Drosophila melanogaster: one gene and its partner. The protein of the gene in region 2 interacts with the protein of the main gene of each other region in a biochemical or structural test. Each region holds a gene or a part of one and is shown on either strand. Other genes may lie near its edges.

Region 1 (7,449 bases), 5.1 Mb from region 2:
TGAGCAATGGTACTTCGTACTGTCCTGGTGGCCAATTGCAACACAAAGGACATGTTGAAGGCGTTTTTTATTTACAATTTATTAAAATTGTGCTCAAGTGTAATGTTGTTACTACAAATGTCATTCACCACGAAAGCCGCAGCGTTGCCACATCAATTGATTTAAATATTACTTCTCAAAAAAAATTATCGATGTCAGTATTTAAATAACGATATCTGTTTTTATTTTTATTGCAAGCACAAATTTGTCATTCGAGAATTTTTCATGTAAATACGTAAAAAAAATAGAGAAAAATGCCTGCCTAACGAATAAAACTTTGTTTAGTCGTTACATACTGGAATATCCCTTGTATTATCAAATATCAGTTTCGATAGTTCGATAATTCACTACACGTATAAGAAAGACGCCGGCTGGAAGAAAAAGTAATATGTGTAAGCAAATGCAAGGAAATTACGGCCAACAAAAACTAAACTCTGAACCTTTGCAGCCGCTTCAGTGAGCAGTAAGAGCACCGTGGTATCCTCCATCATCTCGGGCCTCCTGAGCATTGTTTTGTTCGGCACACTGCGTTTCTGCTCAGAATGGTTTAACGACTCGCAGCTGAGGGTCCTTTTGGGCGGATACCTCTTCTCCTGGGTGTTCATCCTGAGCCTCACGTGCGTCTCCAACGCGGAGATGGTTGTTTTCGGCCAGGACTTCCAGGCCAAGCTGCTACCAGAGATTATTTTCTGTCTCTCACTCACGGTGGCCGCCGCGGGACTCGTGCATCGTGTCTGCGCCACCACCAGTGTTCTCTTTTCCCTGGTGGGGCTCTACTTCCTTAACAGGATCTCCACGAAGTATTACTCCGTTCAGGTGCCCAGCGTGGATGCTCCTACGACGAGAAAGGGCGGAAAGAAGTTCAAATGAACCATTCGTCTGCTTCTTATTTCATTACTAACACATTCGAATACCTAATCTTTAATAACCTTTAATAAATAACTAACTTATAAAGTCATGTCAATCGGTCACTTTGAAGCTATCCAAGCTCCATTATTACAGTTGGCCAGCCTTATACTACTGAGTATTGGTGCTGTGGAATAGGGGATCTTATTGGGAATTCATGAATTCAGTTAAAAAACTCCAATCTCTGGTTATATGGATATCGTAATCCTTTTCCAACAGAATCAAAACCTCGAACGCAAAGTCGTTTTCACAGCGTCTCTATTGCATGCCTTCTCGCAGAAAATGTATAGCTCCACTTTTTGGTTGCTTTTCAAAGCTGCTTCCAGTTGTTATAAAGTGAATTCGAACAAATAGATCAATCTGAAAAGTCGGTTTAGTTTGCTTTAAACATTTTGGATTTGTTTTGTCAACAAAAATTGCCGGCAAAGTGTGACCAGCTTGCGTTTTACGCGTTTAGTATATTTTAGTAATGAAATACTGCATATAATGGTTGCCTGCTGGTCAACGCTTTCGAGTATATTTTCAATAAAAACTTTTGAAATAAACTCAGCTGTATTTAACAATAACTGTTTAAAAACGATTGCATCATGCATTTGTAATTATACAGGGTGATGTCTTATTATTATCAAAGAAACTTTTAGATATTTATAGCTCTTTTCTGATAGTCTATTCGAGCGCTCTGGCAACACCCCACCTAGGCGCGCCTACAGACGTTACTGGCAACGCCAAATGAATAGCGTCGCGTCTTTTTTGTAGTTTAAAATTTTGTGGAGTTTTAGCGAAATAAGTTAAGTTTATTGTTGTCGTGTATGTAACTTCGTGAAGAATCCTTTTTTCAAGTTTCAATTGCAAATATGTAAGTTGCCACCGCGAGCATGCCATAGGCAAGAGAACATACAAACTCCGAGCTCACCCGTCTGTTTTTCAGGTCGAAGCCCCAGAACAACGACACTCTGGAGCTGGACGACATCCTAAGCCAGCCAGTGAAGGACAAGGAGCGCTTCGCCGCCTTTATGATGCGCAAGCTTGCCGAAAATAAGCCGGCACAGAATGACAATCTCTTTGGAAACTTCAAACTTGACTTTGACCTTGATTTCGAGGTTCCACTGATCAAGAAGTCTCAGGCTAAGCCCAAGTCCAAACTACCAGAAGTACAGCCCCTTGGGGAGTTGGTCAGCAAAAACAGTGCCGCCACCGAGAAAGTCAATGAGCCGCCTGTGGACCAGGCCCCCAATGAGAACGTGCCTCCGCGTCGATCGCCAACATTGTCGCCCAATAACCGACGTTCCATGCGCCGCAGTGGAAATGTACCCGGATCTGATAAACTACGTCGACATGCCATCCGCCGGCGGTCCAGGAGCTGTGGACGCCAATTGCTTCCAGAGTTTGAGGAGACCGTAAACTTGACCCGCAGCATATCAAGTCCTGTAAACTTCGTATGTTAAATACATGTCCCACAAATACCTAATCCTTGTACTAACAACAATGCTCTTTTAGTTACCAGAAATAAGCAGCACACCTTGCACAGAGAAACAAAAAGAGGAAGTTGCCAAAAATACAACAAGAGTGGAAACTGATAAACCAGCGGAAAAACCTATGGAACTATCACAAGAACCAGAGCCGGAAAATCCGCTGCAGACAAAGGTGACCTCACCTGCCAGGAACCCTATTCTTGCAGCTGAAATTGAACAAATCTGCAAAGAGCGACAGAGTTCCTTTCACAAGAATGTACTGCAGCTGGACTATTCTGGACGGGCACCGTACTCGCGACCCCCTACTCCGTCATCACCATCCGTTGCGGGCCTACGACGTACCTACACAATGGAAAAGGGCCCAGCTCCAGGCCAGCTGCTGCTATCGCCATCACATCGCTATGACACACCGAGCAAAATGCCAGTAGTTAAGGCAAAGCGGTTCAATCAGGAGTTAATGGTCCCGGACACGCCAGAGCGACAAAGTCACGACCCAGCCTGGCAATCAGAGCCCCAACCGGAGTTCGTAGTGCCGGAAACCCAGCCGCAGGATCTGGGAGAGTTGGTGCAGACTCTGTCGCGCAGCGCGATCAGCCCAATTGTGGTGATAAACACATCCAATTCGAATCGTAGTGTAAGAAGGGACGCTGTCGCAATGAAATCTGTTCCGACTTCGCCAGTTACGGCGTTATCTTCACCACCGATTGCGCCTTCTCCTAGGCGATCCGCCGCTGCCTCTCCCCAGAAATCCATTGCACAACTGCCGCGGGTGGAAGAAAATATGGATGCCATAATGACCGACGACGAAAGCGACGAACATCCCAGCACTGTGCCATTAAATCTAGCTCCTTCAGGTGGGAACACAACCCGGCAACGGCGTTTGCGCAGTAGTAATCGGGCTCGAGCTACAATCGAATCTCAGGAGAGCTCTATGCGCTTGCTTAACCTTCACAAGTCGGTCAATGCCAAAAAGTCAAAGCCGCGAAAGACTGCTATACCGCTGAATAAGGCTCCAAGTGCCCCCATTAATGGCGAGCAGTTTGCCCGCGAGCTAACCCGGATGAGCAACTACGAGATTTTGGATTTGCGCAAGCGCAACTCGTTGAACGAGATATATCCTTTAAATGGGCACAGAAACCATCGTTCAGAGAAGCTTATCCTAGAAGAAGAGATTCAGAGGGAGCTGCTACGTAGAAATCTAATGGATGAGGCCGAAGGTTTGCCAAAACAACAGTCCTCGGATGATTCGAATGAAGACTATATACCGGTTCCGCCAAAAACACAAAGTCTTCGAACTAAAAGCAATGATCGATCGCAGGGACGAGGGCGACCACGATCTACTCGTCGTGATCTTCCAATGGTAAGTTCAAGATCGCTTATATGTTGCGAAGGAAAAAAAAAACCTTTTTTCCCCGTTTTGCAGACAACAGAATTGGTAAACTATTTGGGTCTCTCCCAGACTTTAGAGACTCGACGCAAATCTTCAAAGGACGGCAAGCGTTGTCTGTACACAAAGGGTAGCTCGGACCATGAAGATAACGATTCATTATCACCTGTAAAATTGCCAAGACTAAGCAAGAGCATCCAAATTGTTCCGCCACCTCCAGTTTCACTGCGCTATTCGCAATCTTTGCAAAATCTGCCCTGCTCCGGAAAATTTGATTTCGATAATGTCGTGATGGCAGCCCCACCAGATTTCCATGATAGTGTAAATAGTGATGCAATTGAGATTGCTCCCCCGCCTCCAGAGTACGTTGTAAATACACGGGGCAGAAGCACAAGTGGGCGAAAGAGCAATAAAAATGACCTGGTTTTACCTCCACCGGGGTACGAAGGGGGCCAGGAAGAAGAACATGATGAGCGACCAAGCCAGCCGCGTTGCACAGCCAAAGAACTTCAACAATCCACTCAGAATGGACGAAGGGCGATGGAGAACGAACTGGTACCACCTCCTATCGAATATGTTGAAGAAGAGAATCGCAACAATGAGCAATCAAGGAGATCGACGAAAAATGGCAATCTTGTTGATCGAAATACACATAACGCAGTAGAATATTGTGAACCGCCAGAGCCACCAGAGTACGACGATAGTGACCATGGGCAAGCAAGTATACTGAGGAGAAGTGGAAAAAAATTGCAGCACTCCAAACAGAGTGTACAAAAGTCCAATAAGGAACAAATTATTGCACCTTCGTACGAAAATAACGAAGACTATGACAGTGACGAGGAACCAATTTACAATGAAGAATACGGAAAAGAGGAATCTCAAAATAAAAATGTCACTAGAAGAAAGAGCGATAAGGATGAAATGGCATCACATACATTAGAATGTATTGAAGGTCCAGATCCAAATTGGAATTCGTCCTGTAACAAACAGAATCGTAATCACCAGAACGCATCAAAAAGCAAAGAAAATGATAAGTTAGCCAATCGTTCATCTAAGTCCCAGAAACTCTCAAATCCCCGCCAGAATGCAGTTGGTACAGAAAAATCCGTAGCTCTAAGCAATCGAGGGGAAGAATGTACCGAGAAATCATCAGACGTTATGGAATCACTTCGCGTTAACACACCCACTCCTCCGATTGATCAAAACTCAGATGATGTTCCCAGCAGAAATCCATCTCCCAGTAGGACTCTTTTGTCTGACGACGTACCCAGCACGAGTAGAGCGGCGTTGGAGTTTTTGCAGCGTAGTCAGAACATGTCAAAGAGTCGTCCCCCGGATGAATCAAGCGCGGATGTGGTGTTCAAGAAACCATTGGCACCTGCACCAAGGGCGAAATCAAAAAAAGGGAAGTCTGAAGTAGACAAATTAAAGCTGGCCAAAATGCCGGTGGAAGCTGAGGAACTAAATACTAGTGAGTATATTCAATAATAAATGTTTTGATAAAATTAAATGTATGCTCTATTATTTTCTGCTCCCTTAGCCGGTATTCGGAGATCAAAGCGCGGTCAAGTTCCACTTCAGATGAGTTGGTGTCACACCATGGATCCTAGCAAGTTTAACTTTATGAGTGGCTTCATAGAGCCTCGCAGCAAAAACTCAAAGACGAAAAAGGGAAATTTGAGTAAGGCGAAGAAAGCCAGTGCCACAAAGCCAAAGCCTACTGTAGAGAAGAACTTACCCGACAACCGGGGACCATTGTGCAGCAGTACCCCAAGAATTTCTGAAAAGCTGCCAGGGGCCATACCGCATTCCGAATCCCTTGGCCTGAGTACCTTGACGTGGGAAGAAACTGAAGTGCAAGCAGAGGCTGAGAAGGTGCCCAAGAAAAGGGGACGACCAAAGAAGGCAGTTGGAGGTGTCCAAACTGATACGGAGGCTGAGCCAGAACCAGAGCCAGAGCCTATGATATCTTCGGTTGCTCCACTTACAAGCGATCAGGAAGAGCCTGACGTTCCTGACGAGCAGGCGCCTTATACGGAAGCTGCGCTAGGTCCCGTCGTATTTTCAACTCCCCTGAGAGACGAGCAGGAAGAAGCCTCCACTAAACTGATGCAGTGGCTGCGTGGCGTCGGCGATGCACCACCCAGTGCAAGTATGTCGGATGAAAACGCCAGTGTCTGTAAGTGTAAAATCTATAGAAATTGAATCCATATAGCTTATTTATTAATAATTGCTATTTTTCATTGCCAGCTTCTGCAAACGAATTGATTTTCTGTCAGGTAGATGGTATCGACTACGCTTTCTACAATACAAAGGAGAAAGCAATGCTGGGTTATATGCGATTCAAGCCATACCAAAAACGTAGCATGAAACAAGCGAAAGTCCATCCACTTGTAAGTAAAATATAAGATTATTCCCATTCAACTCGCAGATCATTTTAAAACCTATTCTGCTTTTAGAAACTCCTTGTGCAATTTGGCGAATTTAATGTGGAGACCTTAGCCGTGGGCGAAGAGAAGGAAGTCCATTCTGTTCTGCGTGTTGGTGACATGATCGAGATAGATAGGGGTAAGATATTGCTGAATAATATTTATTATATATTATTTGAATGTTTCTTTTCTTCCTTAGGCACTAGGTATAGTATTCAAAATGCGATAGATAAAGTCAGTGTGCTGATGTGTATACGCAGTTAGTAATTGCTTTGTAATTTATATACGGATAAGTATTGAGCCGATTTATATTTCTTACGTTTTCGCCACAGAAAATAAAAATAATAAAGAGTTGTTTTGTTAAAATATGTAAGACCGACATAGTTTTTTCATGTATTTTAAGTAGCAAAGGTGATAGACCCACGCCATAACTTCGGGTCATATCCTAGCTGCTTAGAATTTCAAGTTCATTTTATTTCCATTTTCTTTGAAATTCACAAGTCGCTCGCCGTGATGTTGATGGCATTGGAGACTTCAAAAGCGAAATGGCAAACAGGGGTAACAACGCCAGAAAGAACAAATAAGCAGGCAACTTTCAAAACAATCTGCACGTCTGCTTTGTATGGCAATTTTTAAAAAAGCACACACACAAATCACACGCAGCAGGAACACAAACATAAATTTGTAAAAAAAAAAAAAACAAAACAAAAATTGAATCAACAGAAACTTTTCCGGCAGGTGTGCCAGTGCCTGCATCCCCACACGGGACTTGGAACATCGTTTAAAATTAACAAAACACCATCTAACATTCATTACAGCAGTGTCAACCCTTTGATCATCCCACACGCCGCACTCTATTACGAGTTTCCCGGAAAATACCTTGCAAATAAAAGGAATTAATAGAACGATTTTATATATAGATAATCTTATATATATTCTTTAGTTCACTTGATTGGTTTAAAATATGTTAATGGGAAGCTAAAAAACTAAATATTTTATATTCACATGCTTGCACATGTTCTCGGTTCACATATTTTCGCCGAGTGTGCACAGACAATTGAATCGGAATTTTTCAGGTCTCGCTTAGGCAGCTGGACTCCACGCCCACCGCCATGTGCAGCTCATGCATGGCAATCAGCGGGAAACCTGTAGTGTTTCTTTGAAGTCTTGCAATCCAATGGAGAATGGCTGACGAACTAGAGAGAAGACGTCTTAC
Region 2 (4,997 bases):
TAAGGTATCCAAGTGCATCCTATATCTTATCTTGGGGCCTTTGCAACACTTCATGGCGAAGATTGCGATGAATGAAAATGTGAAAGCTACGTTCGGTGTGCGTGTGTGTGAGTGTATTTTCGGAAGAAAGATGTGTGAAGAGAGAGAAGCCGTGAGAAGACCATGCCAACTAAAATGCGAAATGCAAAAAATAATTAAGAAAAGAAAAGAAATGTGCCCGGTCTGTTTACAAACATTTAGCGTTTTCCATTAGATCTAGGCCTTCCGCAGTGCGCGCGTGTATCTGTAAATGTATCCGTATCTGTGCGATGGGGTTTTCGGTATGAGTAGGTTTACTATACATATAGTATACACTATATCTGAGCCACTATTATCGCTGCGCTTTCGCCCCACGGCGAGAGCAAACACGCGCGCGAAGAAAACAAACAGCGGCGAGGGCCAGAGAGCGGGTGACTCAAAACGAGGAAGGGGAGTAATCTAACCATTCTCGTACACAGAAAAAAAGTGTAAATAAACACATATCATACCCATATTTTCATTTATACACAGTTAACAATCAGTCCACTATTTCGTTATCTGCACGGCGAAAATCAATGGAGAAGTGTGTGAAATAATGTGCGAGTAAACAGAAGTGGCAAAAGCTACGTCATCGTTGAAGAGCGCCACCTCAATGTTGACTGTCCACCACAAATATTTACGTCACTCTAGATCACCCAACCGCTCACCACCCACCGCCCGCAGTGCCACTCGCCCAAGGTTGCAAGACGTCGGGGAAAATGCGTGCTGCGCTGTTTCGAAGCGATTTGCACAGCGATTAAGTTCCCACTTCCATGGTAATTCCAATAAAGCGCCATAGGCCACTGATAACGCCCGCAGGAGAATTGAAGCCCAGGCGGAGAGCCTGAGTATCTCAATCTCAATCTCAATCTGTAACTGAATCGGATTCCAAGTCTGAATCGGTACCAAAACAAAAGTAGCAATTCAAAACAAACGTAGCGAGCGGTTTCGTTTACGCAATCAGCTGCGAAAAACACGAGAATGCTCATGTGTACATAAGTGTGTCCAAGTGCCGCACAGCGCCACAGATTTCGTTTATTATTAATTTTTATTAATAACCAGCGGCCGCAGAAGGTTGCGAAAAGTGCCGAGAGAAAATCTGTGTGCGAAATATAGAGCTCTGGAGTCGAGTCATCAATAAAGTCCGGCAAATATGACAACTTGGCAGTATTTTTTCGCCCCAGCAACAATTAGTTTTTATAGGGAAGTTAGTAAGAGATACAGTTGTGAACAAGTCGGTGGCCTTTTTGACTCTATTTCGCTACTACCTAGTTAATAACACGTGTGCAAATCGTATTATGAATCACTAGACCTCTTTTATTCAAGGCATTTTCGTTTGGTTTGTAGATTACAGTCTTAGTATGTTGTAATTAAATTCGTAGTAGAATTAAGTTTAGGTTATAGTAGACAAAAATACAAACTAAGATAGGAATTATGCCTATCAACAAGTTTACATCTGATTAGGGAACTTAAGGTACTTGGGTACAGTATTAAAACTATGAATAAAATTTAGGAAGGTAGCAGGAAATTAATAAATATTGTTAAGACTTTAAATACCACCGGTAATTGTGTGAATACAAATAATACAACTATGCTCCATCATTTCAACCGCAACTGTAAATGGATAATTGGAGTCTCGCTGCTCTCTTCCTGTTCTTCGCACACATACACACGCATGGGCGCGAACGCTGCAAGTGTCCGTGTGAAGAAGGAGAAGGCGAAGAGGTGGGAATCCAAAAGCTAAGGATGCAGGACTTCATTAGGAAGTGGTTCGCATATCCCTTTCGTTATCTTCTTACTTTCGCCCCCAGCAATGAAACGCCATGAATTGGGGGAGACGGAATCTAACGATTGCGAACGCGTCGTATCTTGTTTTTTGCATGCATGACAATGTGTGCAGAATACGCGCGCGCTCACACACTAAACCACTCGCACAACCGAAGGCGTGTGTGCATGTATGCAATTTTTTGGGGTGGTATTGGCGGTGAAGGCAGGAGGGATGAAGGGAAAGAGACGGGCGGAGAACTCGAAAATTTAGCAAGTAAACACTCTCCGATTGCGATTACAAAGTCAGCTAATTTCCTTTCATTTTTTATTATAAATTTTTGATTCCGTTTTTTTGTTGATGCCCAACAGTTGATGTATTTTCATACGCGATACACACACAACGCGCTACAGACACTTGGACGCACACAGACACAACGTCTGGCAAGTACATCGCTTTTTGGGCCGTCTCTTTTGCGGTTCATTCAATAAAATTATTGCGAATGGCAGGCGCAAAACAGAATCGCAAAAATTGCAGTGTATTGTGGGAAAGAAGAAGAGGCGTGTGGTAAAGAAAAATGCCGTCTCTCCACCACACACATTACACATGCACGCAATTTTGATCGCTACACGCGCCACCCACACTCTGCAATGTTTTTGTTGTTGTTGCAAGCCGATTTTGTTTTGATTCGATACTTTATTTATGTATACATAATATTTAGGAGCAGCGCATTTCCGCGATATTCGCTGGCGATTTTGCATTTCATTGAAACGCACACAAAACGCAGGGAAAAGAAAAACAGACGACGGCTAACTCACCTCGAACACACGCACACCTACAAACCACACACAGCGGAGAGCGAGGAAATTCAACACGACGGTATGCGTTGTTGCATAAAGTGCGATAAAAGGGGAGACACTGAAAGAAGCAAATCAGCCGAGTTGTATTCAAAATCGGGATCCAATATGGGCTATTGCCGGGATATATAGTCCGATTCCCTGGCAAGGCCGCAAATCATCCACGGAGTACGTGAGAACACACCGTCGGTCACATTCACAGTAAAATTCAAACACACACACACTAGCACGCAGACAACACAGAAGCCGCAAGAGGGCAAAAGAGAGCGGGAGAGAGAGAGCAGCAAAGAGAGAGAAAGAGCGCGGGGGCAAAAACCAAAAAGTTATACACTCACGCTGCAATTCCTTGTTTCTGTTTCTGGCGTTTTTCGCTTTTAGTGCTTAGCACGCTGGCTGCATTCGATCAGTTTATATACAATTTTCTCTTGCGCATATTTATTGGGGGATCACGAGTTAGTTTTCGACCAATATATCTTCCCGGATAATTGTAATTTTCGCTATTTTCCGCGGACCGACGCTAGAGCGTTGGTCTGACCACGACGATAATATCTGCGTATCGATACTCGGCCAGAGAGTACAGCGATAGTTGCATATGACGAGAATGTGAGCTGTTATCGATATCGAACTCTAGCACCCCTGTGACGCCACCATTGTTATGGTACTCTATTAACATATACTTGGCAAAACTGGAGCACCTTGAATGAATATTTGTACAAATCAGAGCAGAAAAAAGCAAACAGCACGACAAACTGCGAGACAGATTCGCCGCTTCGACGCCATGTTGTCTTTCGCTCTTGATTCGCCCCAAAAGAGTGTGCAATAATGCACGAACTGGGTTTTGGTGTTACCGTTTTTCGCACTCCCTACTGTTACGATAATATTTTAAAACAAAAACACGTTAAATATTATAAAATTAGAAAATAGAGCTATAAGTACGTTTACTTAGTATTAAAAAGAGCAAACAGTTTGATTACTCAGTAATTACATCCTCGATTCGAAAGTTAGCATTGTAGTAAACACATAATTCCGATTAGAAATCTTTTCCAGCTTAATTTAACTTGAATGTAAAGTGTCATCTTAAACTAATCTCAGGTGCTAGTTTATAATGAATGTAATGACACGTTAGAGTGCTAAGATATTTATTATTCTGTTAATTTTATGATTTTCAGATATTAAAGAATTTCGAATTTTCTGCCGCCTTAGTGTGGCCAGGTGGCGGCGGATTCCAAATGCCTGCAGTTGTGCCCCGTCGTTTTGGTATTCCGAGTGAAAGACGCAGCGACCCGCTGCTGCGATGCATTTGCTCACTTGGCCAACTTCGGTGCTGCGTTCCCGATGCCTAGGACGACAAAATGCTGCGCCAGAACCTGTTGGATCAGCTTAAGCACTTCATAGAGACGGTGAGCAATGGGCACAGTTGTCCGCAGCTGCTGACCAGCCCCAATCTCATCAAGCTCGCGTGAGTAGCAACCGCGGTGGTTAATAATGATGCCCGTAGTAAATAATTCCATGGATATTTGCAGACTGGGATTCCTGGAGGAGCTGCCCGCCACGCGAGACATTGTGTTCGAATACTTCGCCCTGCTGGCCGAAATCAGTGTGCAGCTGTATGTGTCGCCGGAGATGGCCGACCCAAAGACCGGTATGCCGGTATCCCAGGTGAAGCTGGCCGGGAATCGCCAGCAGCAGCAACGTGCTCCGGAATACGAGGCTTTCAATCTGGTAAAGACCGCGCTGCAGAGTCTGGTGTGGAAGGGACCGCCCGCCTGGTCGCCGCTCATCGCCAACTGGAGTCTGGAACTAGTGGCCAAGCTGTCCGATAAGTACACCCAGCGGCGGATGACCATCACGGCCAGCTGCAACTATTGGCTGGAGTGCAGCGCCATGCACGGGCTGATGACCCTTATAAATAGTTGTTTCCGAAAGTTAACCCAACCGGAGGAGGAGGCCTGCGTGGAGATCATGCTCAATGCCTTTCACCGGTTTCCCATGACCTTCGACTGGATTGTGGCGAGATTGGGCGGCTGTTTCCCTTACAAGATCATCATGCAGATTCTACAGTGCGGCATCAAGCGATTCGTCGATGACTACCGCTGCCACCTGGATTCGGAGGCGGGCATCCTCGATTATATGACCTCGTGCCACGAACAGCACCTTAGGGCAGCCTTTCGTGAGATGCTTAGGGAGGGATTCGCACCGAAGAAGCCGCTGGACGTGGCCGTTGTTCCTTTCCTGCTGATCACCACCAACTACTCGGACACGATCCTGCAGAGCTTGGTCAATGTGCTAGTCGAAATCTGTAAGTACTGGTTGAATAA

The links.
Region 1: the proteins of flfl (region 2) and Cenp-C are reported together in a solved structure, tested with the Drosophila melanogaster proteins (one study listed by BioGRID).

Annotation. Positions count from the first base shown.
Region 1 is NT_033777.3:8,562,456-8,569,904, forward strand, and holds Cenp-C (centromeric protein-C), read left to right. Parts: upstream 1-1,649; 5' UTR 1,650-1,799; coding exon 1,800-1,801; intron 1,802-1,873; coding exon 1,874-2,381; intron 2,382-2,442; coding exon 2,443-3,777; intron 3,778-3,840; coding exon 3,841-5,275; intron 5,276-5,344; coding exon 5,345-5,983; intron 5,984-6,054; coding exon 6,055-6,197; intron 6,198-6,263; coding exon 6,264-6,372; intron 6,373-6,432; coding exon 6,433-6,497; 3' UTR 6,498-6,793; downstream 6,794-7,449. Other genes in the region: mRpS18A (mitochondrial ribosomal protein S18A), read right to left, coding at 1-53; CG31460 (uncharacterized protein), read left to right, coding at 428-431, 488-909.
Region 2 is NT_033777.3:13,682,168-13,687,164, reverse strand, and holds the start of flfl (falafel), read right to left. Parts: upstream 3,245-4,997; 5' UTR 3,015-3,244; intron 2,741-3,014; 5' UTR 2,641-2,740; intron 1-2,640. Other genes in the region: omd (oocyte maintenance defects), read left to right, coding at 4,032-4,138, 4,203-4,978. UniProt on the Drosophila melanogaster protein: Regulatory subunit of serine/threonine-protein phosphatase 4. The probable PP4 complex Pp4-19C-PPP4R2r-flfl (PPP4C-PPP4R2-PPP4R3) is required to prevent caspase induced cell death (in vitro). May be involved in DNA damage repair.